Sus scrofa: one gene and its partners. The protein of the gene in region 3 interacts with the protein of the main gene of each other region in a biochemical or structural test. Links are inferred from orthologs where the notes say so. Each region holds a gene or a part of one and is shown on either strand. Other genes may lie near its edges. The genes, in order: NEK2, HNF4A, CTNNB1, ERBIN, AXIN1, TAX1BP3 and MAGI3.

Region 1 (4,490 bases), on a different chromosome or scaffold from region 3:
CCAGCTGAAACGTATGCGTCCAAGTGTGATTGCTTGGGAAGTTCCCTTGTGGCACAGTGGGTTAAGGACCCAGCGTTGTCATTGCAGCGGCTCGGGTTCAGTCCCAGGCCCGGGAACTTCCATGTGCCGTGGGTGCAGCCAATAAAAGAAAAAGCGATTGATTAATATCTACATATGCTTTGTAATAAGTGATAGAAAGAAATGAAATTAGTGATGGCAGTAAATATCTTTTTTTCCCTCATTATTGCTATTTTAACATTTCAATATTTTTATACTTATTTCAGTTTTTCTTCGATTCCACACTGCCATCCATAAAGACAAACTACACTTAAATCATGATCGATAGAGTGAGGGGGGATTTTTAACTGGGTGAGTTGAAGGCATCAAGCTCATTGCCAAGAATCATCAAGGGCGCCGTTGGGGACAGATCTTCCAGTTATAGAGTTTATCGACATCTTGCCCCGAGCGTCTTTGAGCAAAGGGTGAAAAGCTAAGAAGGACGGTGTGTTTCACTCTGTGGGATCCGTGGGTAGAGGAACCTACCTGTATGCGAGTCGCGGCAATTACTGAAAATGAGCTGTAGGGTGGAGCATCCACTGTGGGTAGGAGATATTTTAAAGTACTGAGCACATCCGAGCCCCAGATGAGCAACAAAGCAGTGGGGGGCAGTGTCCTTATGAACTCGGGACAGTTGGGAAGGTCCTCCTCCCCTCCTTGGGTCCTGCAATTCAGACACGAGGAAAACAAATAAACTAAGAGCATCTTTTCTAAAGCTCTCCTTAGTCTATTTAATGAATACTAATTCGTTTCGTTTAATGAAATACTAATTCAAGGAGTTCCTGCTGTAGCAAGAACAGCATCAGCGGTGGTGTCTTGGGAGCGCTGGGATCCAGGTTCGATCCCCGGCCCTGCACAGTGGGTTAAGGATCCGGTGTTGCCACAGCTGTGGCTTAAGTCACAACTGTGGCTGGGATCTGATCCCTGGGCCGGGAGCTCCATGTGTCACAGGGCGGCCAACAACAAAAAAGAAATGCTAACTTTTTTTCTAAACCCTTTTCTTTCTTACAAAACTATCTCAGTAAGATTTACAGTTTATACTGTTGGTTTACAAATGTTCAGGTATTTGAGGTCATAAAGGTGGATCTGTTTGAAACCATAGACTTAGGGCCTAAAAGCCATCTCCTGAAAGGCTGGCGGAGAAGCAGTGTAGGAAGTAGAAGTCAGGCAGGCGAAGGCAGTGTTTCTCTGTGCGGCCCACTCCTGCAGGGCGCCTCCTGTTCTTTGGCCTGGAATGTTCTTCTCCACGTAGTCGGCTGGCTTCTTACTTCCTCCCTCTCCTCAGGTCTCTGCTCAGGAGCCGTCTTACTACGAGGTCTTTTGCATGACTGCAAACAGCCCTGCATCTGTCTCCTTTTCGCCCAGAGCACACATCCCCTCGGAGACTCCTCACATGCACCTGTTTGTTTGTTGTGGTCTCTCTCCTCCCACCACAACAGGGCCTTTGTTTGGTCCCCAGCGGCACGCAGTGAGCTCAGTAAACATTCGACCGTATTTCCTTTACATGAACACAAAGGAAAAACAAAAAGAACCTTTTTGTTCTAGAATTCAAACCTGTCAGTTCCTAATAGTGTAGACACTTGAAGGAAATTCTTTCTTTTTTTTTTTTTTTTTAAATGTTAAAAGTACAATTCACATCTTCACTCACTATTAACTTGATTAACTTTTACTGTGTTGCCTCTGCTTTTACCCTGCCACCCTGGCTTAGGTTCTTTTTGAAACAAGTTTCTGGGCAGTTAAGCCGCTCTAAGTGTTCTTAAGTATTTCGCCAGAACTGTAGGTGCTTTGCTGTAAGGAAGAGCTTCTGCGTCCATGCTTTCCTGGGAGTCATGCGTTGTAGGCAGAAAGGCACTTGTTTTCAAGAATAGAGATAAAGAACATTGCTTTCCAGACGTTTCATACTAGAGACTGTGATCCTCTGTGCATTTAACCTTAACAGGAAGGTTGAGTGTTAGGAGAATAAAACATATGCTCCTCGATTTTTGGCTGCAGATTAAAAGCCTGATTGATTTCTGCCAAACCTATGCCCCTAGCCTGTTACAAAAGAGATAACAGGTCCAAAATGGAGTCAGTTATCACCAAATGTCACCAAACCAAGACTTAATACCTAACTTAATTACAGGTTCTGCCTCTCCCAGGAATGGAATCTTAAAGCAGTCAATCTGGCATGACCTCGTCAGCAGTAGTAAGGTCATCTGCCTGGTAGACACCTGCTGTCCACTGAATTAAGGTGACCTTGCCACGCAGATCTGTTCCCTGCTAGAGTGACTTCCTCATCCCGTCCCCTCTGCCCGTAAAGGTCTTTCATTCTGCACAGCTCCTCAGGGCTTTCTGTCTGGTAGGTAGGATGCTGCCAGCATCGTGAATCGTTGAGCAGGAGTTCCCATCTGGCTCAGTGGTTGACGAGCCCGACTAGGAACCATGGGGTTGTGGGTTTGATCCCTGGCCTTGCTCAGTGGGTTAAAGATCCGGTGTTGCCGTGAGCTGAGGTGTAGGTCGCAGATGTGGCTCGGATCTGGTGTTGCTGTGGCTCTGGCGTAGGCCGGTGGCTACAGCTCTGATTGGACCTCTGGCCTGGGAACCTCCATATGCCGTGGGAGCGGCCCTAGAAATGGCAAAAAAAAAAAAAAAAAAACCAAAAAAATGAATCGTTGAGTAAAACCAGTTAGATCTTGAGTATTTCCTCAGCTGAATTGTCACGCTCTGGTTCCAGAGAGAATAGCCGGTCCCCGGGGTTCACGTGTGAAGCGACAGGGTGACTGTTGCGGTGAGTCTGCCAAGTACGGGGGAGTTGAACTCCTGTTCACGTAACTCAGACCCTCTTCTTTTTCCTCCCTGAAGAGCGTTTTGATCTTCCGACCTCGGGAATGAAGAAGAAGGTTCACTTCAGCGGGGAGAGTAAGGAGAACGTCGCAAGGAGCGAGACTCCTGAGAGTCAGCTCAGCTCCAAATCCAAGTGCAAAGACCTGAAGAGGAGGCTCCATGCTGCTCAGCTGCGGGCGCAGGCCCTGGCAGACATTGAGAAAACGTACCAGCTGAAAAGCAGGCAGATCCTGGGCATGCGCTAGCCTGGCCCAGAGACAGCGAGCGGCGAGCCGGGTCTAACACTGCCCGCCCTTCGAGGCTGGCATTCCCCTGCCGCGGCCTACACGCGTGCTGCCGTGAACCGTGCGTTTTCTGTAGGAAGCCTGATGTTTCGGGGTCGCTTTTGCTGTTCCTCGGCGGCAGGTGTGCCAGCGTCCACCCCGTGCATTTGTCTTTCTTTTTCTAAGAAGGCTTTACAGACAGAATGACTGTCTTGGCCAACTGGGCTTTTCATCCTCTGTGTGATTACTTCTGGAACCTTCGATGTTATATTCTAAGTGTTGGGAATTGGGGGGGATAGTAGGAAAACATCTTTACTCAGGAGCAGTGCTTACTGTGAAGTCTGAAGGACTGAGTGGTGTGCTTTACAGCTGTCCTGTCTAGAGTGAAAATTTAAGTCTGGGTTTTTAAATGTTCTTGAGCTTAGAGAAAACCTGGTCGGCCACTGATACGCTGGCATCTCGCGTGTAAACATCCCGTTGCTCTGGGGCGTGAATCTGTGACCTTCTGTGGAAGAGTTCATCTCTGTGATGTCTGTGTGCTTTTCCCCTTTTTATTCTGTGAATGTCCTGTGCCACCTCTTTCTGACTAAATAAAAGAATTCTTTAGTTTTCCTAGTCTCTGGCATGTGCCCATCTCTTGGTTGGAGGGAGTCTGTGTTTACGGCTCACAGGTTTGGAGGGCAGGCATGAGAACGTTAGCTCCCCAGGGCTGGGGGCACTTTGCTCTGCATCTCATTTGACCGACTAAGCCAGTGGTTCTTTCTGGGGGCAGTTTCCCCCCCCAGGGGATATTTGCAACATCTGGAGACAGTTTTTTTTAATGGTCACAATTGGAGGGAGGGTGCTGCTGGCATCTAGTGGGCAGAGGCCGGGACTGCTGCTAACCCCCTCCCCCCGCCCCCCGTGGTGCACAGGACAGTCCCAGGACTAAATGCCAACAGGGCCACGCGTGGGAACCCTGATCTAAGCTAAAGCTTGCTGGAGTTTGAAGGGAACTTGTTTTGGCTTTGGTGGATTTTTTTTAATATGTCTGACTTGTGATATGAATCAGCAGTCCTCGCGGTGCCCATCACATTTTTCATGTGATGTTTTCCTGGCAATGCTAATCCTTTTATCGAAAGAAGACCAAGTTCTGAAGGGTTTTAATAAACAGGAACAGCTCCTTTAGTAGCTGGTTTTGAAACGCTTTATTGACGTCTAGTTGACTCGCAACGTCGTGATCATGGCTGCTGTACAACAGAGTGACTCAGTTGTACATGCACACACCCATTCTTTTTTAGGCTTTTTCCCCCCCGTATAGATTCTCACAATATCGGGTAGAGTTCCTTGTGCTAGACAGCAGGTCCC
Region 2 (4,006 bases), on a different chromosome or scaffold from region 3:
ACATGTACATCACATTCCCATTTATGACATTTCTCATTCCACAGGGTCATTCTCAACCTCAAGGTGAGAGTGGCTCAATCCCACTGAAAACAGGGTAGGGGAGAGAAGGAGGGCACTTGCCCTTCAAGAAAGGCCCTCTGTGACCTTGAGAACCACTGTGGTCTGAGTGAGAGAGTCATGGCGCTGTGGGCAGGAGGGGGCTTGGGGACCACCCACCCCTTCATCAGGACCACAGGCCCGGCTTTCCCAACATGGCTCATGAACTCAAAACCCACAAGATATAACCCAGAGAGGGAGGCAGAGAAAACAGGGGCTCAGAGGTAGAGTCAGGGAGGGGACACCGCCAAAGCCAAGTTCCCCTCCTTTCTAATTGTCCCAGGGAAGGCTAGGTCTCAGGATCCTGCTGTGGGGTGGGGTGGGGTGTGTGTGTGTTTGTACAGAACTAGACCAAGGGTTTTGGCTGGTGTGCCACGGCAGCAGGCTGGAAGTGAAGGTCTGGAGGCCAGTCCCAGGGCTGGGAAAGCCGAGTGGAGCAGAGGAGACAGAGATTTGAAAGCGCGCTCAGGTTACTCAGAGAAACAGTTAAAAGACGTTTACTTCCCGAGCTTGGGCTGAAAAACTTTTAAATGTTCTTGGGGTCTGGAGGGCCTCGGAGACCACACCGAGGTATTGTCCAAACAGCAGTGAATTTGAATCCAGAGCTCTGGGTTCAAACCTGGAAGCTTGTTTTGAGCAGCTGTGGGGCCTTGGGAAAGTTGCTGAGCCATCTTGGACCTCCGTTCCCTCGTCCATGAAAAGGGGGGTAGGGGAGTTGATAATGTGCCAGCCACACAGAGTTGTCATAAGAATGGAAAGCCCAGCCAGGTAATCAGTGTCTGCTGGTGGCAGGAGGCCGGGAGAGACCCGAATAAATGATGTACCCCACTGTCCCCACTGCACCCAGGGAGAGTCTGGTACCTTGTTCCCATTCCCTGAAATGTGAGAACCCTGGATCACCTGATACCCAAGAACGAAGACTGAGGAACTGGGGTGCCTGTTCCCGGGACAGGAGGCTCAGGAACAGTGCCCGCACCCTGCCCCCATTCACATTTGCTGACTCTGGGTGGTGGGTCCATGGATGTTTATAACCCTGTTCTTCACACTTTTCCTGATGGTGGAAATAGTGCATTAAGAAAAAACCCCCAGCTCAGTTGCCTCGTGGCGGTGACGGCAGGCAGGGGTGGTGGCGCTGGGAACCTGAGTAGCTGAAAGTGGGAGCTTATCTCTTGGAATCTTTCTCAAGACCAAGCCCAGCCCCTCCCTATGGTCAGACTTTCAGGCCCTCCCTCCTCTCAGCCATTAGCCAGTGTCCTGGGGCCTGTCACCAAGTCATAAAATTGTAGTCGCTGTTGTAAATGGCTGTCAGGAGTTTGCGGGCGCGGGTGGGGCAGCGGGGTGGACGGGGGAGGGCCGAGGCTCACCTTCCTTCTTCATGCCAGCCCGGAAGCACTTCTTGAGCCTGCAGTAGCGGCACTGGTTCCTCTTGTCTTTGTCCACCACGCACTGCCGACTAAATCTGGGGAGGGCTTTGGATGGTTGGTTGGAGAAGGGACCACCCTCCCTCTCCCAGGACTGAGCTAGAATCCTGGTTGGCTCCTTGAGCCCCCTGCCCCCCTGCCTCCTTGCCCAAACCCATCATCCCAGGAGTTCTTATGCTAACCAACCAGGAGCTGGAAAGGCCCTGTGCACGCCAGGAGTTCAACCCTGCCCCACTAAACAGAGAAACTGAGGCTCAGAGAGGTGACAATGGCCTCAGATCACTCAGCTGCAAGTCCAGGGCACTGCTGTTTCCACTACATCCCATAACCGCCCAGAGTGAGCTCCTGGTTATGGATCAGAATCAATACTCGGTCCACATAAGCTGCTTTCTGGAGGGGGTTGAGAAGTAGAGGCAGGACCCACAGTGGTTAGGGATGGGGAGTCCACCCAGGCCCTGCCATTGATTCAAGCTGGGTGACCTTGGGCACATTCCTAATCCCTCCAAGCCACGACTTCCTCATCTATAAGATGAGAAGAACAATGGTAACCAGGGCAGAGGGGTGTTGACTGGTGAAAATGGGATCACACCCAACTGGGCCTTGGCAGAGTATCGTTCATAGTAAGTGCTCATAACTGACAGCTGCTGTTATTTTATTATCGTGTCACCTAGAATGAGAGATGCTCTCGAAGAGAGAGCTCCAGGGTCTTGAGAGAGGTGGGAAGACCTGGGATCAGTGCCCTCTTTGCCCCAGAAAAAACCCCAGGTTGGGGGACGGGCCTCATCCTCTGAGGCCTCAGAGGAGGCTTGATCCTAAGCTTCAGGGGTCCCAGTTTGCTAAATGAGGAAAAATAATGGGGAACTGATGGGAATAATTAGCACCCGCAAAGACTTAATATGATGCCTAGCACATAGTAAGTGCTCAGTAAAAGGCAGTTGATAGCGTTATGATCAGTAAATGAGGTTTCTAGAGTAGACATTCCCGTCTGGGTCTGCAAGAACTAAGCAATCAGAAGAGGCTTGAAGGCCTTGAAAGGCGGATGCCTCTGGGACCTGGGCAGGGAGAAGACAGACCCTGGGGGACATCAGCCCAAATATGCCCGTTTCCCAGCTGGAGAAATCGAGGGTCCTCACCTGCAGGAGTACATGTGGTTCTTCCTCACACTCCTCCGAAAGAAGCCCTTGCAGCCGTCACAGCTCGAGGCCCCGTAGTGTTTGCCTGTGGCCCGGTCCCCACAGATGGCACACAAGGCGCTGACACCCAGGCTGTTGGGCGCATTGAGGTTGGCACCTTCTGATGGGGATGTGTCTGTACCAGAAAAGAAAAGAGTGAGGACGCAGGAGGAGCAGCACGTCACCTCCTGGAGGCCTTGCTCTCTTGCCGCATCGTGGGGGTCTCCCCAGGGCTTCAGCCTCAGCTAGACCCACATGCTGCTCCTATTCCCTCAAAGACCTCGGGCGAGCCCCAGAGCATTTTGGAACCTCCATTTTGCATCTGTAACTTATGGATGGTTGTGACATTGACTTTGCAGCGTTGTTATGCGGGTCTGCTCTTCTCCATGGCAGAGACCTCTAGCCCCAGCTTTCTCTGGGAAGTGACAAACACCTGGCTGGCTCCTAGGATGCATCCAACCCTTATAGACCCCGATTGACAGGGCGGAGGGGGCTGTGGGGAGGGGGCTGTGTTCCCCCAGCATCTGCCCAGAGCCTCTCTGGGTGACCAGGACTGGGTGGGTCTCAGCTTGGCACCCAGGGGCCTGCAAACTCCCCCAGGGAACAGAAAGACATACATCAAGGACAATGGCTTCTTTGTCCTCCTGGGAGGATCATGTCAAGGATCTGGGCATCACGGTAAAAGCTGCTGCATCCATATAAATGTGAGGAGGGGGAGAAGAGACAGGTGGCTGGGGTCCTGGCTGCTAGTGCTGCCACTAACTCTCCTGTCACCTTGGGCCAGTTCCTTTTCCTTGTTTCAATTTCCCCTGGGCCTCAGTCTCCCTAACTATAAAAGAGGGCAGTTTGACTGGTCCAATTTATTTTTCAACTCTTAAAGAATTTTCAGCAGCCAAACCCTCTTTTTTGTAAGCGAATCTTCTGCCAAGGAAGATGACAAACACTATGAACCATCTTCCCGGAAAAATGCCCGCGTACACAAACCACACAAAGTCAAAAACACACACGCAATGTCATAGAAACTCTGCATCCGACCTTGAATTCCTAGGGAACATCTAGCTGAGAAGTGGAGAGGGGAACAGGGCTGTAGGTCAGAGCCCAAACTCCGTAGCCCTTTGCCAGGGCGAAATCCCAGCTCACCCTCTTCTTAGCCGTGTGGCCTTGGCCGTGTTAGTTTACCTCTCCACATCTTCATTTCCTCACTTATAAAATGGGAAACGAAATAATCCCTAGGGCTGTTATGAAGATTCAGTGAATCAGTCTGTGGGAAGCGCTTGGCACGTATGGGCATTTGTGAAATGTAAACTTTTCCAACGC
Region 3 (4,006 bases):
ACTGCAGCCTTATTCACCACTACCTATAATGTACAGGAATTAAGAGACATCAGTTTTCAAAGACTGATACTGGGTAGCCATTTTGAGACTACTTCCTTGGGAGTTTCCTTCAAAGTAGATTATTAAGTCAGCCATATCACTACTTACCTGGTCTTCATCATTTAGCAATTTTGTCAATTCGGGGATTGCACGTGTGGCAAGTTCTGCATCATCTTGATAGTTAATCAAATTTACAACTGCATGTTTCAGCATCTGTGATGGTTCAGCCAGACGCTGGACATTAGTGGGATGAGCAGCGTCAAACTGTGTAGATGGGATCTGCATGCCCTCATCTAATGTCTCAGGGAACATAGCAGCTCGTACCCTCTGAGCGCGAGTCATTGCATACTGTCCATCAATATCTGGAAAAGGTAAATTCAACACTCACTATCCACAGCTCAGCATGCACCTGAATATTTGCTATCCTAAATGGTGATGATGACATTGCAATCACTCCCTTTTCTTTACCACACCATTTTATTTAAGCTATTATATGCTAACTTTCATAAGAATAACTATTTAATTATCAAAACTGCATTCTGACTTTCAGTAGGGCAATAATACTCTTACCAGCCACTTGTTCTTGAGTGAAGGACTGAGAAAATCCCTGCTCCCACTCATATAGGACTTGGGTGGTATCCACATCCTCTTCTTCAGGATTGCCTTTACCACTTAGAGAAGGAGCTGTGGTCGTGGCACCAGAATGGATTCCAGAGTCCAGGTAAGACTGTTGCTGCCAGTGACTAACAGCCGCTTTTCTGTCTGGCTCCATAGCCATGTCCAGCTCCATCAAATCAGCTATAAAAATCAAAAGCATTAGTATCACTACTAGGAAAATGGTATCTTAATTTGAAAATAAAAATCTGTGACAGGACCCACTGAAATCTTTTTAGAAATAAAGTCAAATCTGAAGATAGCCAAGGAAAACAGAATGATGGCCAGGATCAGCTCAGTGATGAAAAATCTATACTCTTAGGGGACCACCTAACAGTTACTCACTGCATCAGTGGAAGAATGGTACTGCATCCAGGCTCCAGAAGCATTCATCCAGCCTAGATTCCTGCTGCTGGCTTGTTTGCTATTTCACCAAGCCATTAGGAGGAGTGAGCAGAAAATGGAGCAAAGGGTAGCCTGACAAGTAAGCAGGGAGAGAGGAAAGCAGGGGAATCTGAGCCAGACTGGGTTAATGGCAATGAAGCAGAGCCCCAATTCAGTAACTAAAGGCTTATGATACAAACCTTGGGTAGCCATTGTCCACGCAGGATATTTAAAGCCGTAGTATGGTGTATGTACTTCAGAGATCCTAAAAGAGTTAATCAAAGGTCATTAGGATTTAAAATTAGTTTGATTTTAACACTCATTAAGCCACTAAACATCACGCACCACATCCACAAAAAGCCCCAAGTCCTCTTTTACCATGTGATATAGTGAAACACACACCTCATGGTCTCCTCCACACACCTCAACTACAGCTCTATCATTGCTGAACTTTTAAGAGAAAACCTCTCATTAATAAGCACTTCTTTTCAGTAGAAATACAAATTACAAACATACAAGATGTCAAAAAGCCCAACTATTGAAGACGTCAAAGAAAACACAGACACTGTAGTAATGAAAGCCAGAGAGGAGAAAAAACTACTCCAAATCACCTCCTCCTTGAGTTCCAAAGTCCTCCCCTCTCCCTTTTTAACTTCTTTCACTGGAAAAATTCATAGGTCTTCTTCAGACAATACAGGTCCAATGGGATTTTAAAAACACCAAATTTTCATTAAATGAGTCAACTGTTATTGTTTTCTTTTCTGATATAATACAGTGACATCCAAAATACCGTTATAAAACAGATTTTGGTGACTGGATCAGAACTGGAGATTTTTTAATAAGTAAAATTACCTTTTCAAGTGAAAGTTTGCGACACAAACTAAAAGTACCGTTTTTAGTTAAGTTTTTCAAGTTCAAATTTATAGCATAATTTATTACAAATACAAGTATTACTAAATAGAATGCTTTGATCAATGTAAAATCATTTACGTGTGTGTGTGTGTTTGTGTGTGTGTGTATAGAAAAGCATCTATATGTCTGCATTTTGGCTTTACTGTGTCCAAGAAAATTCAGGAAAACAATGAATTACACAGGGAGCTATCGGCAAATGAAACCATTTAAAGGGTTCACGGTGTCTAGATATTCCTAATAACAAAATTTCCTTTATTACAAAGTCTGCCCCCTAAACAAGTTCATCTTGCACTACAAATTAAATATTAGATGTAGATTACCAATGTGGAAAGATATGGACTAAGATATTTAAGTGTGAACTGTGTTTTCTATCAATGTGCAAAAATTTAATTATGTTTCATGCAACTAGAAACTACTCTGAAGTCCTTTTCCTCTATGTAAAGGAAGCCTGTGTTTATTATTTCTGGAATTGCTCTTCTAAAACTAAGTTTTTACAACCACAAAGACCACTTGACACCTAAAGCTCACAAGAGCTGTGTTGTGAGCCACATGGGAAATCCCACAAAAGTTGTGGATGCTATGTGTCCACAGTAAGAACAACTGACAATTTACTTCTAAGGCAGAAAATAATAACGATAATTCCTGTCAAGAAGAAACTTCTATTTTAAAATCTGGTACGACATAGGATTATGTGTTTAATGCTTCCATTCAACAGGACGGGAGTGGAGCGTAGAAACCTGCACTTTAATGAACATTATAGGATGCAGAAAGTGATCTTCAGACCACACTTTGAGAAAAACTGATGGAAGGAACCCAGGTTCTCTGTCCACTGAGGCTGTATTTTAGCCTTTATCTTTAGACTATCTTTGTGACTGGCTATTTAACCATTTCTCTACCCCTCTGAAAAATGGATTCCCCACTCCAGCTCACAATATGCTCCTGGGAAGGGGAATTAAGTGTTCTACAGTGAACTCCTCTGGCCAATGCCATAGAGCTCAGAAACCTACTAGTCACATCTATAGGCTATGCAGCTGTGTTAAAACATGCTGGCATCAAGGAAAATAACATTTATAGCATTTTTTCCTTGTTGATACAAAGGCAAAACATATTAACCACGTTATTACTGGAGAAAATTTAGGTGGGCTGAGCTAGTAATTTGACCATGATTTATGATTTCATGGAATAAAGCAAATTAATGTTCAAAAGTTAAAATATCTATTTGAATGTTGGGGACCTCTTAATATTATTTTTATAGTACTTTCAAATTTATACAACATTATGCAACATACAAAAAAATTATCCGTGCTCTTCACAGCAACCCTCTGAAGTGACAGAAGGTAAATGTCAATCAGCAGGTAAAGAAGAAAAAGTAAGAATGAAAATGGATCTACCGAAGTTTCCATTGTGGCTCAGTGGAAACGAATCTGACTAGCATTAATGAGAATGAGGTTCAATCCTTGGCCTTGCTCACTCAGTGGGTCAAGAATCCAGTGTTGCCATGAGCTGTGGTATAGGTCACAGATGCGGCTCGGATCTGGCGTTGCTGTGGCTATGACGTAGGCCAGCAGCTATAACTCTGATTCGACCCCTAGCCTAGGAAACTTCATATGCTGTAGGTGCGGCCCTAGAAAGACCAAAGAAAAAAAAGAAAATGGATATACCTAAGCAGAAGCATATACCAACCTACCCCTGCGCTGTTCTGAAGACAAATCCAGATTTACCTTAAATCTGATAATTACTTACTAAAGAAATTGAGTATGCTGTCCGGAGAACCAGGGCAGAATCTCACCTCAAAGGAAAGCTTTCTTCATTCTTCCTCTGGGCAGAGCTTTCAGGCCATGGGTTGGCCCCCCTCCATTTCCCCTGCCAATCATTAAGGGCCTAGAGCTCCTAATCAGCTAAGGCTTGCCAGGAAAACCACACTCCAGAGAAACAGAACTTAAAAATCAGGATAGGAGTTCCCGTCGTGGCGCAGTGGTTAACGAATCCGACTAGGAACCATGAGGTTGCGGGTTCG
Region 4 (4,728 bases), on a different chromosome or scaffold from region 3:
CTTACAATTAGGAAACAAGACAGAAAAAGTTAAAAGTTAAATCTAAAAAATGGGTGGTGTTCAAGAACTAGTGATGAGAGGCACCAAAAAAGAAAAAAATATATATGGGGAGTAAATTACAGAAATGGGGAAGGCAGAAATGCTGAGCTTATTTCCTTAGACAATTCCAAAGTAGATATTATACAGTCTAATTTATACACACATTTTCTATAGCAAAAAATATGTATTCAAAAACTAAATTATGAACAGCCAAACACAGGTACAATACATATATTGTCAGGGGAAGAAAGGCATCGTTAAGGACTTTATATTACATGTGTTTCCAGGAAGAAAAACAAGGCATGTGATGGAGAAATGGATGAGCAAGGAAAAGAATCAAAAATGCAAGCACCAAGTCTGTTTAAAGAGAATCTAGACAACTAGAAATTACAAAAAAAAAAAAAAAAAAATACTTTCCTATCTAACATCACTAAAACCTACAGAATCCCAAATACTTCATAATCACTACCATATTTATCTACAGGCAATAATTTAAAATAAATGCATAAATATGCACTTAATTTTCTGAAATTCTTGTCTCTTAAAGTGAGGTACTGTTTACTGCCATGAGCTCACTACCAAAATCTCTAAAATACCTGAGTTTTAGACATTTACCAATGATACACATCAAATGTCTCTAACTGTAGTTATTGCTTCATGAAGAAAAAACAAGCAATAAAAAATTGGTTCCCATATTGGAACCTCTGTAAGCTTTTTATACATGAAAAGTTGGCAATAATTTGTTCACAAACAGTAGGGAAACTTCATAATATCTGAATTAATTAGTTGAAAGATTAAGTTTATCACTTTTGAAAACTCCCAGTACCTTTAACAAACAGGGCCATCAAGTGCGCATTTTCTACAAACACCTTGGAAGTACTCCAGATTTGTGAATTTAATCTAAAAAACCCACAGAATACTAAGAAAAATATCCAAAATTTGAAGCCATTTTAAAATATTTTTATGACCATTTTTTAAACTTATTTTCAAACCACTGTCAAATTTTAAACAAAACTTTGAAAAATATTTACAGTTTGACAACAGTATAAAACCTAAAATTCATTAAGTTAATCCAGTGCTAAACTAATAAAATAAATAAACCTCAAAGTAAATTTTGCCTTGTTGAGGGGAAAAAGGAATCAAAGACAACTACAAAGGTGAACATCTTTTAAAACATGTTGTCTGCATCTATACATACTATGCTCCCTCAAGAAAAAAAATCAAGAGCTATATCTAACAACAGGCATTTAAATAGGTATTTTTGAGGACTATAATACTTCTTTCAAGTAAAATTTCCTAACACAGAGAAAGGAACACTTTCGCAAAGTGATAATTCTCTATAAAAGACTTGCTCTATTAAGGCTTTGTTGCTCTGAAGCCAAGTATAAACCATATAAGGAAACCGAAGTTCAATGCCATTTATTTTGTTCCCCTCTTTCAGATGCCCAAGAATAACCTCTTTCGTTGCCTAATTTTAAGTTCTAAAATCATAAAGTAGATCACTTACATACTTTAAATTATTTGATAAAGCTACTTTCACTTAATAGGAATTACTTGATGGTTCACAAAATCTTACCAACAATTTAAAAAACTACAAAATTGTTTTTAAAAAGGAGCTCCAGAGACTAAGCTCCAAGAAAAAAAAAAATCAAAACAATATATAGTAATAGTTAAAAGACCCCCTTTTTGAAACATACTTAATTTGAAGTAACAAAGAAAAAGTTGTGAAATTATTTGAACCTACTGTTTAAAACCTACCTTGTCTCTTTTTGGAACTAAAGAAAGCCAACCATTTTTCTTGTGGTGGCAAGGGCAAATAAATATTAATTTACATTTAAGATATATCTACAAACAAAATACCACGTTTATTTGACATTTATTCAAGAGCAGAGTTTATCTTTTACCTCCCTTTACCAAAAAAGCACGGGGGGGGGGGAACCAAACTTAAAAAGACACTCATTAAAAACACCACAGAAGAAACCGTCTGTGTCTGCAGCAACCAAAACTAGTTTGATCTATAAAGACTACCGACTGGTTCAGAAGTGTTTATATTTATAACTGACTGGTGGAATGTCACCGTGCTTCACTTAATCCCTGCCCCCACAGCAGATACTCATCACTTATTAGGTGGCAGACCCGGTCAAAACATTTGGGCCAACAACAACAAAAAAATGTAAATAATGTGCTAACCAAAAAGCACAGCTATTTATCACAATCACTGTGATGCCCATGAACACTGTTTTAAGCGTTTTACTTCCTTTCCTATACATTCAGTTCCGAATTGCACAGAAGTCCTAACAAATCAAACCACTTACAGGCATTCATGTTTGCTTTTTAATCATCACTCTTTAGCCGTAACACTTTTTCTCCCTACTAGGTCAGTTACAAGAAAAATCTTGTAGACAGTAGCTTGTAGACAACACCAAACAAGTATTATAAAGTTATAAATGTCCGAAAAGAACAAGTTACTGAAGACATATATATTACCCACCTGAAAAAACGACTAAGAACGGCAAAGAGTTTTTTGTTTATAAAACCCAATGAAACACAGTCATAAGAGTTGGAACTAAATAACTCCATATACATTTAAATGCAAAAGCAAAATAATCGGTAACAGTATAAACAAATACTGTGGCAGCCATCTCAACAGCAGCCGATTGCTCGCCGCAGTGACCTAACTTTCATCCAAAACAAAAGTTGTCAGGTTCAGCAACTTAATAAATCAAAAACATACATTGTATATGTTCCGGGAAACTAAGATTTCTGGACCTTCTGCTGAACAAAGGCATTCTTTCCTCGGAATTGCTTAAAACTTTTCGTCCCACCGCATTCTTACAACCTCTTCTAAAATGACCAGGGTCCAGATGGTAGAAAGGAGAATAAAATCAGTTCTACTGCTTTGCACCTAAATCACTACCCCGTCCGACAGGAGAGAGGGAGAATTTAGGGCAACTTGAGAAAAAGTGGAAAACACTAAAGTTTCCTCTCTTTCCTGGCCGGGGAGCTTTGTGACTCGCAGACACTTTGGGTGAAAATTACCTTTCGGTCGGGCAGTGTCTCAGGACAGCTTTTTCAAGGCTTCGCCTGACATGATTTCCTCCCCTTCATTAGTCACTTCGGATCCAGCCGAATTTCTCTCTCCGGTGAGAGCGGATGTGGAGTGGCCTCCCGCAGTAGGAAGAGTAGGTGGCTCCGGTGGGGGTTGGGAAGCGGGCTGGCTTCCTGGTCTCGAGTTTTGCAGGAGTTTCCCAGCCCCAACTAGGATCTCCGTCGAAAAAAAAACTTTTCACTCGTGACACCGCCCGGAATTACCGTGCGAAACTCACTTCCTGCCTTGGCGAGCAGCAGGATCCAGCTCGGTCCAGGGGAACCCGGAAAACCAGCTCCACGCGCGTCGGGCGGGGGAGGGCAGGGGGCGTCAGCCGAGAGCCTGGGACTCCGGGCGACCCGCGCGCCCCGATATCCGACGGCAGGCGAACCTGGCCCGCGGGGGCAAAGATGCCACCGGGGCGCTGGGAGAGCCTCTGCCGCGCTAGGCCGCCGCCGCCTCCTCGCCGCCACCCCCGGAGCCGGGCGGCGGGGTTATTGTCTCGGTAGCGCCTGCCGCGCCCTTCGCCCGCGCGGCCGCAGCCGCGGCCGCCCGGAGCCCGAGCCGAGGGGCCGGGCAGGCTCGATGGCGGCCCCCTCCCCCGGCCGGCCGTCGGGCTGTCCGTCCTTCCGTACGTCCCTCCCCGCCTTCCTTCCCTGCCCTCGAGCCCTCTTCTCCTCCCCCTCCTGTTTTCCCGCCACCGTCCCCTCGCTCCCCTCCTCGTTCTTCTTCCCTGGCGGCGGTGGCTCCCCCGGGAAGCGCAGGGGGTGGGGGCAGGCGGCGGCTTCGTCTCCTCACAAGCTCGCGGGGCCGCGGCAGGGGCCGAGACTGCGTCCCGCGCCGCCGCGCCACATTCACTCGAGCGAGAGACTGCGAGGGGCGGGGAGGGGAGGGGAGGGGAGGGGAGGGAGGGAGCGGAGAGAAAGGAGGAGGAAGGGGGCTGGGGCGGAGGGGAGTTACTGCCTCACAGGCCGCGGAGGCAACAGCGCCACCGCCCCGGCGGCGAGGGGGGAAGAGGCTGCGCGCGGCGGCGGCTCCGCGGCGGGGGCGGGGCGGCCTCCCGCCCGCTTCGCCCCAACCTCCAACAGCCGGGCTGGAGGCCGGCGCGAGCCAGTCACCGCGCGCGGGGGCGGTGCGGGCCGACGTCGGTGGCGGCGGGGGGCGGCGGCGGCAGCGGGGGGTGATAGTCTTGGGGGCCCGGGAGGCGGGGCCGGCGGCCGGGGGTTCGCGAGCTAGGTCCGGCGTGAGGCCAGCTCTGGCCCAGGCCCGGGAGGCCTGCGTGCTGCTCCCCAGCCGCCCAAGGTGGGGATGCGGGCGAAGTCGATCCCGGCTGCCCTGCGCCCAGCCTGGAAGAAGAGAGTCCTTGGAGTTTCCGTCGTGGCGCAGTGGTTAACGAATCCGACTAGGAACCATGAGGTTGCGGGTTCGGTCCCTGCCTTGCTCAGTGGGTTAACGATCCGGCGTTGCCGTGAGCTGTGGTGTAGGTTGCAGACGCGGCTCGGATCCCGCGTTGCTGTGGCTCTGGCGTAGGCCGGTGGCTACAGCTCCGATTCAACCCTAGCCTGGAACCTCCATATGCCGCGGAGCGGCCCAAGAAATAG
Region 5 (4,006 bases), on a different chromosome or scaffold from region 3:
GGCAAGGGAGCCCACCTGGCACAAAGCTGGCCACAGGAAGGCAGAGGCAAAAACACTCGGAAAGGGGACAGTTTCTGATAAAACTCAATTTGCTCTCACCATGAAATCCAGCGCTCAGGCCCCTGACATTCACCCAAAGGGGACGAAAACTCAGGCCCACACCAACCCCTGCACACGGGTGATTACTGCAGCTTTCGTCACAACTGTCAAACACGGCAATCAGGATGTCCTCCAGCAGGCGAGTGGGTAAATAAGCCAGACCACCCACGCGGTTCAGCACCAAAAAGAAATGAGCTTCGGAGCCACAAAAAGACACCGAGGAACCGCAAAAGCGTATTAAGAGAGAAAAGCTAGGAGTTCTCGTTATGGCGCAGTGGTTAACGCATCCGACTAGGAACCATGAGGCTGCGGGTTTGATCCCTGGCCTCGCTCAGTGGATGAAGGACCAGGCGTTGCCGTGGGCTGTGGTGTAGGTCGCAGACATGGTTCAGATCCCGAGTTGCTGTGGCTCTGGTGTAGGCCGGCGGCTACAGCTCCGATTCGACCCTTAGCCTGGGAACCTCCATATGCCGCGGGAGCGGCCCAAGAAAAGGCAAAAAGACAAAAAAAAAAAAAAAAAAGAGAGAGAGAGAGAGAGAAAAGCCAGCGTGAACAGGCTGCACGTTGCACAGCTCCAACTACATGGCTTTCCGGAAAAGGCAAAGCCATGAAGATGGCAAAAGCTTCAGGGGCTGACAGGGGCAGGGGCGGGGGCTGGAAAGGACGCGGAGGCAGAGCGAGACCACCCCATGCAGTTCTGCGACAGACACACGTCGCACACCTTGGTCCAAACCCACAGGACGGACCCCACCGCTGAGGGGCCTGGAGTGCAACCACGGACGGCGGGTGGTCATGCCATAGCTTTGGCATCTGAGACAAATGACCACTCTGCTGCGGGAGGCCGGTGACGGGGGAGCCATGCACACGTGGGGACACGAGTGTGCGGGAAACTGCGGCACCTTCCTCTCAACTCTGCTGGTGACCTAAACCTGCCCCACACAAGATCAAGTCGAGGAGTTCTCGTTGTGGCTCAGTGTAGCAAACCCGACTAGTATCCATCCATGAGGATGGGGGTTCAATCCCAGGCCTCACTCAGTGGGTTAAAGATCCGGCGTTGCCGTGGGCTGTGGGGTAGGCCGGCAGCTGCACCTCCGATTCGACGCCTAGCCTGGGACCCTCCATAGGCTGCAGGTGTGGTCCTTCGAACAAACAAAAAGAACACTGTCCTGACCAAATATGAACACTCTCAAGTTAGATTTAGATTTTCTTTTTTTTTTTTTTTTTTTTTTTTTTTTTGTCTTTTTGCTATTTCTTGGGCCGCTCCCGCGGCATATGGAGGTTCCCAGGCTAGGGGTCGAATCGGAGCTGCAGCCACCGGTCTACGCCAGAGCCACAGCAACTCGGGATCCGAGCCGCATCTGCAACCTACACCACAGCTCACGGCAACGCCGGATCGTTAACCCACTGAGCAGGGGCAGGGACCGAACCCGCAACCTCATGGTTCCTAGTCGGATTCGTTAACCACTGCGCCACGTAAGGTTTAAAGACCATGAGGAGGTCCCGCTGTAGCTGCATCCTGGGAGCACTGGGAGGCAGGTTCGACCCCCAGCCCAGCACAGCGGGTTAAGGATCCGGCACTGCCGCAGCCGTGGCAACTGAGGTTGCAGCTACGGCTCAGATCTGATCCCTGGCCCGAGAACCTCATAGGCCAAAAAAGAAAAGAGAGAGACAGTGAGAAAAAGGCAAACGAAAGTCACCTAGGACAGTGTGTCTGCTTCCCACCCCTTAGAGAACATTTCAACCCTCAGCACATCTAGCCCTGTGTTTGTTAGCAAGTAACCACTTTTTCTGCCACGAGAAGATTGAAGACGGGGTCCGGGAGACCAGCGCCGGGAGACTCGCCTGCATCATGGGGTCGCTTTATTAAATGCCAGCCTTTCAGCACCTCGCAGGCCAGGACGGGGAAGGGAGGGGAAGGGCTGCGACCGGCGGCCACAAGCTCCGGCCAGAGACCAAACAAACTGCCAGGAACCACAAGAAAGAGAACCAAGAAACAGGTTTCCAAAGTCCCAGCGACTTGCCAAAGGCACCGCTCCTGGCCTCCCAGCTGCCTTTGTGCCCACAGGCCACGACCATGACCACAGCTTCCGAGTCCCGGTCTGGGCAGGAGAAAGGGGTGGTCCTAGACCCACAAGCGCAGCCACAGGAAGTTCCCACGGGGCTCGGACCGCCTGCGGCACAGCAGCCTCGCCAGCAGCGCTTCCCGACCTCTAGGAAGAAGCTCGGGGGACGACCCGGAATTCTCCACGCACCGACGCCTTTCAACGTCCAGGCCTCCGCTCTCTGAGCCCCAAGGACCGCGGCCACCAGGTCAACACCCCTCTGGGCGAGGGGACACACACGGGACTGCTAAGGGTTGGACGCCACGTGGCGTCCAAGGCAGCCCACATTCCCAGCGCCTTCCGAAGCCACTCGGGTTGGGGCTGTTCTCGCCAAAAGCACCCTCCACCTGCCAGGCTCTGCACACCGTGTGACCTCGCACCCCGGCACCAGGCGTCCCGCCGCTCTGGGGCCAGAGCCGAGGGAGCAGCCCTTTCCCAGGCCAGTCCTCCAGTGCCCGGAGGCGAGCGTGGGACGGCGGCCTCGCGGGGGACTCACCTGAACTCTCTGCCTTCGCTGTACCGTCTACTCGAGCAGGCCCGCGGGGCGGCGGTTTCCAGCAGCAGCAGCGTCTGCGTGAGCCTGCCGGGCGGTGCGGGGTCTCCGGCGGCCTCCTCGTCCGCGCCTCGGTCGCACGTCCACTCCTCGTCCTCGTTCAGCGTGGGCAGGTATCCGGGGACCCCCTTGCCCGTGCCTGCCGCGGAGCCCGGCTCGCCACAGGCCTTGGGGCTCTCGGCGCCCGCGCGCGTGCACTCAGCGTAGATGTCGGACTTGAGGAAGGCGGGGTAGGTGTTGGCCTCCATGCTCGACTGCACCTCGGTCTGCGCCTGGTCGAACATGGCAGGGTCGATCTGCTGCTTGGCGATGCAGTCCTTGATGAAGCTCTTGGTGGCCGGCTTGGTCTGCCTGGACACGACGCCACCGCTGTCGAGGATGTACCTGCGGTAAATTGCTCGGGCCAGCTTCAGCCTCTTCTCCTCGTTCGAGTCGCAGGGCTCCAGCTTCCTGAAGCCGCTGCAGGCGAACCAGAAGTCCAGCAGGTCAGCGCAGTGCTCCTGCCTCAGGAAAGTCCGAAACAGGTTTATCCCGTCCTGATCGTCGAGCAGGGAGTGCAGCGACTCGGCCCACTTCAAGTACGGCGGGGTGGGCGAAGCGCTGCCCTCGGGCTCGTACCCCAGGTCCAGGTCCGAGCGCCTCGGCGTGGCTGTCGAAGTCTCCCCTTTAATCCCGGCACCTTTCCCAGAGCAGAAGCTGTGGCTGACGGGCCTGGGGTCTGTGGACACCAGCTCCCCCTCCTCACCAGGCACTGGGGGCCGGGGGGCATCTTCGGTGAAACTTGCGCCGAGGTCCAAGGGGAAGCCCTGCTCCTGGGTATTCATTTTGGGGCGCTGTGCGTCAAGGCGCAACGCGCGCTGCACCCTAATACATCAGTACTTACGGCTCCCAGGGAATCACTCTGGCCTGTTGAAACCATCAAGAGGACAAGGATTAGGAACAGTGGGGCCATGGAGACACGACCACAGAGGTTTTCTCAGACAAGCCTCGCAACGACGCCCTCCCGCTCAAAGCCAGAGACTCGGCTTAAATTCTCACTCTGTTTTTTTTCCAGAGGCCACACCCACAGCCTGTGGAAGGTCCCGGGCCAGGCATTGACCCCGCGCCCCCAGCTATGACCTGCGCCCCAGCTGCAGCCACACGAGACACTGAACCCACTGCACAGGGCCGGGGAGCGACCTCGCACCACCGCAGAGACAGCCCGGATCCTTAACGTGCTGCGCCACAGCGGGAACTCCCAAATTTTCAATCT
Region 6 (4,676 bases), on a different chromosome or scaffold from region 3:
TACACTGAAATCCTGGCTCTGCCTTTTCCTAGCTATGCCTCCTATGGTAGAGGTATTTAACTTCTCTGAGCCTCAGATTCATCAGTGGGGGCTAAGAATCAATCTACTGCATAAGAATACTGCTAGAATGAGATTGAGTGTAGGAGTTCCCATTGTGGCTCAGCGGTAACAAACCCAACTAGTATCTACCAGGATGCCTGTTCAATCCCTGGCCTCGCTCAGTGGGTTAAGGATCCAGGCACTGCCATGAGCTGTGGTGCAGGTCAGAGATGCGGATCAGATCCCAAGTTGCTGTGGCTGTGAGGTAGGTCGGCAGCTGCAGCTCTGATTCGACCCCTAGCCTGGCAACTTCCATATGCCACAGGTGCGGCCCTAATAAAAGCAAAAAAAAAAAAAAGAAAAAGAAATGAGTGTGAAAGGTGCGCAGTACAATGCCTGGTATATAGAGCACACTTAATAAGTATTGACTGTTATTAGTTCTCGGGATGTTAATAAGTTCTCTTATTTAGGCCTTAGTGACCCCTCTGCGAATAGCCCATGTGTCAATGCAAGGAAATGAAAGAAAGCTAAGGCGCAGTCAGAGAGCTCTCCCAGAGTCAAAACCCGGCGATTCTGCACCCACAGCGGCGGGAGGGGGGGGGGGACGGGGGGACGGGGACGCGGAGCGCGGCGCTTTAAGGTAGGAAAAAAACTCCACAAAGGGTCTCACGCTTCATTTAATCTGAAGAACAGTACAGGCTCTTCGTCTTCAGATATAAATTATTCATAACGTTACAGAACAAGCAGCGAATCCAACAATTTAAAAACTAGGTAAGTCTACACGCTGTTAATTTCCGGCAACCGTCCTCCCAATCTGCTTTTCAAAAAGAAGTCATCCCTGCCCTCCTTTCAGTAGACGTGCACCATGCCGTAGAGGAATGTCCAGAACAGGACGTAGGTGAAGAGGCCTCCAATGAGACCTCCTGTAAAGAGAGGTCTTCGCGACTTAAAATATTTGTTCCACCTCCTTCCCGCCTTGAGAATTAAGAGCAAAGAGAGCAGGATGGAGGCGAGCAGGTAGAAGATGAAACCGTACAGGCCGGTGAGGCCGAGGATGCCGGCCGTGGCCCCCGACAGCGCCGACACCGAGGTCCGGCAGTAATCCAGGACGGCGGCGTTGCCCCGCACAGCGGCCTCACTGATGAACGGCGGCCCTTCCCGCTTGACCACCACAGCGGCCATCGCACCCACCCGGACTCGGCCTCTGCTTTCTCCCGAAGCAACGCGGGGCTGCGGAGAGAACCACGTTACAAGTAGCGCCCAGAGCCTGGCGAGTTGGGTTCACGCCGCCCCTTTCCCTAGGGCTGCCAAGACTTCGCACCACCTCCCCGCCCCCAGCGTCTCGGACCTTCGAAAAACGCTGAGAAAGCTGAGGGTTCGGGACGGCTGGCCGCATAGCTGCATTTCCCGCCTAGACTCGGCCACTTACCTGGAACGCGGCGGCGGAGGTAGTCACTCGACGTTCCCTCAGACAGCCTAGAGCAGGGACTCCCGCGACGCCATCTTGCGCAGAGGATGCTGGGAAGGCCCAGGCTGCGCACGCGCCAAGGCCTCGCTCCCCGCCCCCCCTCCGCCTCTGGCGCACGCACTGAGGACGCCTCAAGCACGCACCACCCACTTCCCCGCTTTTCTACGCACGCACGGGAACTTCCGAGAGCCGGACAGCGCTCCGGCAGGTGATTCGCTGGAGTCTTGTTAACTATTCATAAGGGGGCGGGCTGGGCCGTGCAGCCTTTGTTAACCAGAGAGGGCGCGGCCACCGGGATTCTCGCTGCAGGCTTCGGGGAGCGGCGCTTGGCTTCCAGATTGGGGTCGAGATGTCCTACATTCCGGGCCAGCCGGTCACCGCCGTGGTGGTGAGTGCGCTCGCTCGGGCTCTTCCTAGTTTTGGCTTGCCCCCACTTTGCAGATAGGTAAATTGATACACCAAACAGGTTGACAAAGCGTCGAACCCGGGACTCCTGCAAACCCGCAGCCAGAGCTCCGGTTCCCGCTCTGCGGGACAGGAGCCGTGGTCTTCCCCAGCCAGGCAAGAGGTGGCTGGGACCCACGAGCTTCCTGAAGACCCGGGATCAAGGCCAGATCCTGCTCGCCGCCGCCGCCGCTCTGGACTCTTCTTACTGAGGGAAAAGGCCCCGGCTGTGGGAGTCTAGGAAGCGTCCCCTTCCCAGGCCTGTGTCCCCAGCTGGGTAGCCGCGGGGGGCGGGCGCCGGATCCAAAGTCCATGAGTCGCAGCCTCTGGAATGAGGAAGTGCTTCCTCCGCTCCAGCCGGCGCCGCCGCCCAAGACTTGCGGGTGGAGGTAGCCGGAGCCTGAGTAACAGTCCTACAACCCCTCCCATCTAGCCTTGCCTTCTCGGACGCACAGTCAGTCGGTCCAGAGTGAAGGCTCATACAACTGACTTGATCCCGCTCCGAACTTTCCCTGGATCCCCAAACAACTCTTGGGGCAAAGCCCAGGTCACCCTCCTGGCACTTGGGGCCTGAGGAGACCCTTCGGGGTCGGCTCAGGCCCCTGGTTGCCCTCTTGGTTCATCTTGGGTGCCAAGTGCTATGAGAATAGGCAGAGAAGTTGGGACATTAGACTCAGACGCCAATGTCACAGCTGGATGGGGCCTGGAGACCCATTCCATGGCTGAGGTGGGGAAATTGAGTCCCAGAGAGATGTCTGGCCATGCCCAGCCATGTAAAGAAGGCTTCAAGAAGGACCCAGATCTCTGAGCAGAAATGCCTGCTGGGCAAGGAATGGGTCAGATGGAAGTCGTAGCCCTAAGGGCCCTGCCACTGGCTGCAGTATCCAGATGGGCGTGTTGGGGACTCCAGCAGCCAGGTGGTGTGACCAGGGAGCCACTGATAAAGCTGCCATGTGAGGGTGAGCTTAGCACACCAGCTCAGGCCTGGACTGCTGACAGCTGTCCTCAGCTTCACCCTGGCTGCACCGGCTTGGCTTTTCCAGCCTTCTAGCTGCCCCAGAGAGAAGGGGTCAGGTTTGCTCTTTAGCTAGAAAAAAGGGAGTGCAGGTGGGGAACCAAAGAGGCAGGAGCCTCCCTGACCTCACCCAGGAGGTCAGTGATGGGGCCTTGTCTCCCAGTCCAGACCTTGGAGATGGGTCAGAGGTGTCCCCAGAGGTGGAGCAGGCCTGGAGGAGCTCACACTCTTACACACGAGGACCTAGGTCCTGCAGGCCTCAGGTGTCATGCTTCCTGCTCCCCTTTCTCACATGTCTCTCCTGGCCCCTGGGCCTTCCTCTAAGTTTTAGGACCATGACCCCCTGGTTCTTCTCTAGGAACATGTTTGAATATGGTGGGTGGGGCCTGGCTTCTCCCTCCTGTGTCCTGGATCCGGGATGGGGTGGAAGAGGCTCCTCCCTACCCCAGGCCCTCTCCCACATACTTAACGCTGTGACAGTGTTAAAACCATTTGGCCTCTTCGCTGAACTCTGGGTCCATAGGTTCGTCCACCTTCTGGACACCTACCTGGACAGCTCTTGGTTCTCCAGCTCAACATGCTCCTTCTCTGGGATCCACATCTGGGAGATGGTTGTGTTCAGCCAGGCGGGGCCAGATGGCTGGCTGGGTGCTCCCCTTGCCGCCTCTGCATGATGGGCCATCCGGAGATGTCCCACCTCTGTGAGACATCTGTTGCCTTACTGCCTGGGTGGTCGTTTCAGCATCAAACCTGACCATGATCTACCGTCAGCCCTACTCCCCAACTCCTGGGAGCTCCAGTGGGTCCAAAATCAAGGTCAGGTGGCCAAACTCCTGGTCAGCCCAAGGCCTGGTACAAACGGCCCCTCCTTCATGAAGCCCCTCAGATCCAGATCAGGTCACATGCAGTTGCCTTTTACTTTGTTTTTTCCTTCTTCCTGTTAAAACTCTCAACTTTGGGGGGTGTGGGGTGGTCATCTGGTCTGGAAGGTGCCTGCTGAGGGCTTTGAAAGGAGCCTGGCACCGTTGGGGTCCACAATCTCACCGTGTGGTGAGGGTGCCCTGGGCCCTGCATCCACCTCCTACACTGCACAATAGCAGGGCCCCGGGGCTTAGGGAGATGTCCTGTCCCTTAGGCTGGTCTCCTGGCCCTGCACTCACCAGTCTAATGCATCTCGCCTCAGCCTTACCTCGCCTCCCGGTTCTGGTCCTGTGCCATACACTCCCGTCTCAAGGAAATGTAGCCACAGCACCTTCGAGCCTCTGCTCCTGTTCTCTTGGCCAGGACAGCTCTTCCTCCCTTCTGTGCAAGTCTGATCCCCGCTGTTCTAAAGCATCTCCTGTCTCACCCTCAACAGGGCTGGCTTAGCAATCTGAGCTGGCCTCAGCAAGGTGCCTACATGTTTTGTTCAGAGCTTGACCCCTCTTGCCCCTGTGTTCCCTCCCCTGGGACAAAGACCCCATCCGGAACAGCCACAGCATCCTGGCTCAAGAGCCAGGAGGGGCTTAGTCTGTGTTAAGAAGGCTGGTACCTGTGACGTAGGAAGCTGGGAGAGGTTAGGGAGAAGGGTTGTGTGGGTGGGTTGGTGTGGCTGAGTTCTGAGCCTTAACCCCCCAGCCTCCCAGGCTGGTGAATAGCTGGCTTCCTGCAGGAGATCCTGGGCCCCACCTCTGTGGCATGGCTCCGAGCCTACCCAGCTGCCTGAGGCTG
Region 7 (4,006 bases), on a different chromosome or scaffold from region 3:
ACAGCTACTGGCCTATGCTACAGCCACAGCAGTGCAGGGATCTTAGCCGTGTCTGTGTGTGACCTACACCACAACTCAAGACAATGCCAGATCCTTAACCCACTGAGCGAGACCAGGGATCGAACCCGCAACATCATGGTTCTTAGTCGTATTCATTTCTGCTGCGCCACGATGGGAACTCTAAGGCAGGACTTCTTTGTAAAGCAAGAGGGAGCCTCTGAGAGAACAGCTCCATAAAGCCCTGGGTAAGTCCTACCTCCCCACTCACTGAATTGAATTCCCAGGGAAGATGTTTAAGGTGATATTCGTTCTAAGAAAATGAAACAGGAAGTGTTAACTCTAATTTAGGTTATAAAGATGTCACTGTGAAAACCCGTGTGGCCCATTCAAATGTATCACGAAAAACTGCCCCACACCAGGGAATCAGATTTGGGATAACAGAGTAGCCTATTTTCACATGTTCCCATTTAGATAGAACTTGCACAAAAGAAGAGCTCAGCAAAATGACCTCTCTAATAAAACTTTAAAAATGAAATTCAATAAATAGCCTAAGAAAAAAATACTTTGAGAACAGCTTGTTATCCTGATTCATGGTTAGGAGAGGGAGATTACAGAAGTTTGTGATAAAATAATTAATGTGACTAGAATGCAGGAGCAGGAGTTCTTGTTGTGGCTCAGCGGTAACAAACCCGACTAGGACCCATGAGGACGTGGGTTCGACCCTGGCCTTGCTCAGTGGATAAAAAAGGATCCATTGCTGCAGTGAGCTGTGGTGTTGGTTGCACATGTGGCCTGGATTCTGTATGGCTGGGGCTGGGGCGAGGGCCAGCAGTTGCAGCTTCGATTCAACCCCCAGCCTGGGAACTTCCATGCGCCGCGAGGGTGACCCTAAAAAAAAAAAAAAAAAAAAAAAAAAAAAAAAAAAAAAAAAAGACGCAGTAGCAGCAGCTTGTTAGGGAGGAGTGAGAGGACAGCCTCCACAAAGTGCTGTGTCCAAGAGGCCCCTACACTGGCCCGGACCCAGTCAGAGTCCACGTCCTAAGACTGCCAGAAGCAGTGAGAGGTCATTAGAGACGTTCAGCAATTATAAAGCATCATGGTTGCTGTGTCTGCATTGGCATCTGTTACGAAATAGATACAGTGGCACAGGAGTTAAAAATGGTTACCAGGGGACCAGAGAAATGGAGAAAAACACAGTGCAATTTTAAGTAAACAGGCAAGAGAATTTCTGCTCACTGGACCTACGTGGGACAGTCTTTACAAGTGCTGAGTGTTTCTTTCCTTTGACCCATAAAACAGCAAATCTGTGGCAGATCCTATTTGGTGGGCTATAGAGAATTAACCCATTTTATGTCTGATGGCCTTTTGTTTAGTAGCCTAAGGTTTATGGTAATGGAAGACCATCTTTCAACAAAAGACGACAGACCTCAAATCAAGCAACTTAGGATTCTATACAAAACTGTCTTTATATCCATCTAATTGTGGATATTTAAGTTGGCACACATGTGTACCAGGCACAGTTTCTTTCAAAGCATTATCGGTGGACTATCGGTGGTATAGGCTCCGAGAGTCTTCCAACAGAAATACCCAACCAGGAGAGCACGTCTTCTCTCTAGGGGGCTTTTTCTAACTCACAGGCTTCCCTGGTTTCTGATACAAGCCCGGCGCAGAACGCCTCCTGCCTCCTCCCCATCTGTCATCACCACCACCACAAGCTGCCCTCACAGAGGGCAAAGTGGTATCTCTCTCCCCGTGATGAGAAGAAGCATTTGAGGACCACTGCGTATACTCACCATTTTGGCAGTTTTAGTTGGTGATGGAGGACCTTAAAAAAAAATGAGCCACATTTTAAAAACAGAGGAAGCATTGCCAGATCACAAATACTGCTATGTTTATGCTAAAACTAGCTTTGACTTTTAGTAGGCGAGTCAATTATGTCCAACATGTGTTCTACGTGTCAAGGGTTAAGGACAATCCTAAGGCATAAATGTTACTACCGTTTTATAAAGAAAGAAAACAAAGACTCAAATAGATGAACATCACTTTCCGCTCCTGCTGAACTAATAGGTAATAAGACAGGAAATTGACACCCAATTTGTTTGACATCAAACCCTGGACTCGGACCTTTTCTGGGACACTGGGTAACTCTCCAGCCCTCACAAAGGGATCTGTACCTACTCTGAGCGCATTCTACCGTATCACCCAGAGAAGAAGCAAAAAGGGTTCAAAGAAATGAGAATAATGAAAAATGCCCCAATGAAGCTAAACTGCTCATGTGCCTCAAAAAATGAAAACTAAAAGCCAGAGAGATACATGTGAAGGGCTAAATTTTATTCTTTAAAATGTTAGTCATTCACAGGTATGGATTTAAGAAAGCCCATTAAAATGCAACTTTGTGATTGGTCCTTGGAACTGGATTGATGTCTGGGAGCCGTTCAAGTCAGCTGATGACCTGGGAAAATAAAATTGTATTTCTCTCATATGAGCACTGTGGGGTTTAATTAACATTTATGAACAGATACTAAAGCTTAAGATAAAAGTTTTATGAGCACAAGCTACCATGATTGCTTTTACAGAACAGATTAACACGCCAGCCAACATTTTGCTTATTCACAGAGATGCTATGCTCTTTCAAAACATCTTTGGTACATTACAGAGGTCTGGATCAAGTACCAGTGGTTGAAAGAGTCCATTCCTATTATTGCCATCAACAGAGAAAATGAAATTAAGAAGATATATTTTGCTGAAGAAGCACAATGCTGTGACTCTCTCTAATCATTAAAGTCATAGATTAGATTTTTAAAAAAAATATAGAGGGAAAGAAACCCATAATGGACACAATGAAGCCACTAATAACTAAAAAAGAAAAAAAAAGAAAAAAAAACTGCTGCAAAAGATACTGCTTATGGAAGCAGTCGGGCAGAACTTAAGGAAAATGCACACTAATTACCAGTTAAGCCTGCTGGAAAAAAAGATTCTGACCTGTAGTAAGGAAGGACAGCGAGTAGGTATAAATCTACGAACAATGAAGCTTTTTCCTTTTTGTGCTTTTACTCACCTCCTCTTAAGATAAGCAATGGTACATCTGCACCTACTGGAAACTGCTTTAGCACCTCTACCACTTGGAGATGTGTTAAATTCTGCACATTTTGATGGTAAATTTCCTTAATTATATCCCCTTTCTGTAGGCCTTGACACCACTGGCTATCCAGTATCATTTTCACCTTCTGTCCAGTGGGGCTGTCAGCAATTGCAAACCCAAAGCCTTTAGGGCCCTTAATCAGAGGGATAGTCACTAGTTCAGGCTGGGAGCTGCCTGATGATGCCATAGATGCTCTCTGCTCACTCAGATCTACCGGTCCATTGAGACGATCACTGATCAAGGTGTGTCCCGATTTGCCATTCTGGTCCAGAATCACGGCTCCTGACTTAAACTCCTGAGTACTCATGCAAGTCTCTCCCTTCGTTAACGGCTGTCCATTGATGACAGGAGTAGCAGCAACAATGTCCACGACCGGATCTTCATTGTCATCAGGAAGTGGATAACCACGACATAAAGTGAGGTTGACATACTGATTGACGGGTACCAACTGAAACATCTGGACAACATCTGCATGGGTGTGACCAAGGACACAGTTGCCATTGATGTCGACAATAACATCACCTGGTAAAACATAAGTCATGTTAATATATTAAAACTATCAAGTGAATTTTTGTTGTTGGAAGAGTCAAAAATAACTGAAATTCAGCATCTAAATTTGGATCCTAGAAACTTCTTCCTGGACATTAACAACTGAAAAGATAGCTTTTCAACATAGATATGCCATTCTCCCTTCTGTGACTCCTCTTTGAAAAGAACATATAAATGCATACATTCTTAGTTTTCTTAGTGCCAAAGAATCACGACCTCAAGCTCGAGTGAATCTTTAAAAAAGTAACTGAAAACTCCTATTACCAATGTTGGTATATCCTTTGAGTCATACCAAAGTGGCCACACAAAGCTAGG

The links.
Region 1: the proteins of CTNNB1 (region 3) and NEK2 form a complex in vitro, tested with the Homo sapiens proteins (2 studies listed by BioGRID, with this or other methods). The link is inferred for Sus scrofa from reciprocal best matches to the Homo sapiens genes CTNNB1 and NEK2.
Region 2: the proteins of CTNNB1 (region 3) and HNF4A form a complex in vitro, tested with the Homo sapiens proteins (2 studies listed by BioGRID). The link is inferred for Sus scrofa from reciprocal best matches to the Homo sapiens genes CTNNB1 and HNF4A.
Region 4: the proteins of CTNNB1 (region 3) and ERBIN interact in a test that uses a peptide from one of them, tested with the Homo sapiens proteins (2 studies listed by BioGRID and IntAct). The link is inferred for Sus scrofa from reciprocal best matches to the Homo sapiens genes CTNNB1 and ERBIN.
Region 5: the proteins of CTNNB1 (region 3) and AXIN1 form a complex in vitro, tested with the Homo sapiens proteins (2 studies listed by BioGRID). The link is inferred for Sus scrofa from reciprocal best matches to the Homo sapiens genes CTNNB1 and AXIN1.
Region 6: the proteins of CTNNB1 (region 3) and TAX1BP3 are reported together in a solved structure, tested with the Homo sapiens proteins (2 studies listed by BioGRID and IntAct, with this or other methods). The link is inferred for Sus scrofa from reciprocal best matches to the Homo sapiens genes CTNNB1 and TAX1BP3.
Region 7: the proteins of CTNNB1 (region 3) and MAGI3 form a complex in vitro, tested with the Homo sapiens proteins (2 studies listed by BioGRID and IntAct, with this or other methods). The link is inferred for Sus scrofa from reciprocal best matches to the Homo sapiens genes CTNNB1 and MAGI3.

Annotation. Positions count from the first base shown.
Region 1 is NC_010451.4:131,556,768-131,561,257, forward strand, and holds the end of NEK2 (serine/threonine-protein kinase Nek2), read left to right. Parts: intron 1-2,179; coding exon of another isoform or gene 2,180-2,286; exon of another isoform or gene 2,287-2,287; intron 2,288-2,898; coding exon 2,899-3,125; 3' UTR 3,126-3,760; downstream 3,761-4,490. UniProt on the Homo sapiens protein: Protein kinase which is involved in the control of centrosome separation and bipolar spindle formation in mitotic cells and chromatin condensation in meiotic cells.
Region 2 is NC_010459.5:46,823,757-46,827,762, reverse strand, and holds part of HNF4A (hepatocyte nuclear factor 4-alpha), read right to left. Parts: intron 2,826-4,006; coding exon 2,651-2,825; intron 1,556-2,650; coding exon 1,461-1,555; intron 1-1,460. UniProt on the Homo sapiens protein: Transcriptional regulator which controls the expression of hepatic genes during the transition of endodermal cells to hepatic progenitor cells, facilitating the recruitment of RNA pol II to the promoters of target genes. Activates the transcription of CYP2C38.
Region 3 is NC_010455.5:25,191,462-25,195,467, reverse strand, and holds part of CTNNB1 (catenin beta-1), read right to left. Parts: intron 1,349-4,006; exon of another isoform or gene 1,343-1,348; 5' UTR 1,291-1,342; coding exon 1,278-1,290; intron 838-1,277; coding exon 610-837; intron 402-609; coding exon 148-401; intron 24-147; coding exon 1-23. UniProt on the Homo sapiens protein: Key downstream component of the canonical Wnt signaling pathway.
Region 4 is NC_010458.4:44,414,477-44,419,204, reverse strand, and holds the start of ERBIN (erbin), read right to left. Parts: upstream 3,217-4,728; 5' UTR 3,079-3,216; intron 1-3,078. UniProt on the Homo sapiens protein: Acts as an adapter for the receptor ERBB2, in epithelia. By binding the unphosphorylated 'Tyr-1248' of receptor ERBB2, it may contribute to stabilize this unphosphorylated state.
Region 5 is NC_010445.4:41,347,771-41,351,776, reverse strand, and holds part of AXIN1 (axin-1), read right to left. Parts: exon of another isoform or gene 3,661-4,006; 5' UTR 3,579-3,660; coding exon 2,698-3,578; intron 1-2,697. UniProt on the Homo sapiens protein: Component of the beta-catenin destruction complex required for regulating CTNNB1 levels through phosphorylation and ubiquitination, and modulating Wnt-signaling.
Region 6 is NC_010454.4:49,756,092-49,760,767, reverse strand, and holds the start of TAX1BP3 (tax1-binding protein 3), read left to right. Parts: upstream 1-1,741; 5' UTR 1,742-1,856; coding exon 1,857-1,895; intron 1,896-4,676. Other genes in the region: EMC6 (ER membrane protein complex subunit 6), read right to left, coding at 889-1,221. UniProt on the Homo sapiens protein: May regulate a number of protein-protein interactions by competing for PDZ domain binding sites. Binds CTNNB1 and may thereby act as an inhibitor of the Wnt signaling pathway. Competes with LIN7A for KCNJ4 binding, and thereby promotes KCNJ4 internalization.
Region 7 is NC_010446.5:106,920,675-106,924,680, forward strand, and holds part of MAGI3 (membrane-associated guanylate kinase, WW and PDZ domain-containing protein 3), read right to left. Parts: intron 3,665-4,006; coding exon 3,059-3,664; intron 1,826-3,058; coding exon 1,794-1,825; intron 1-1,793.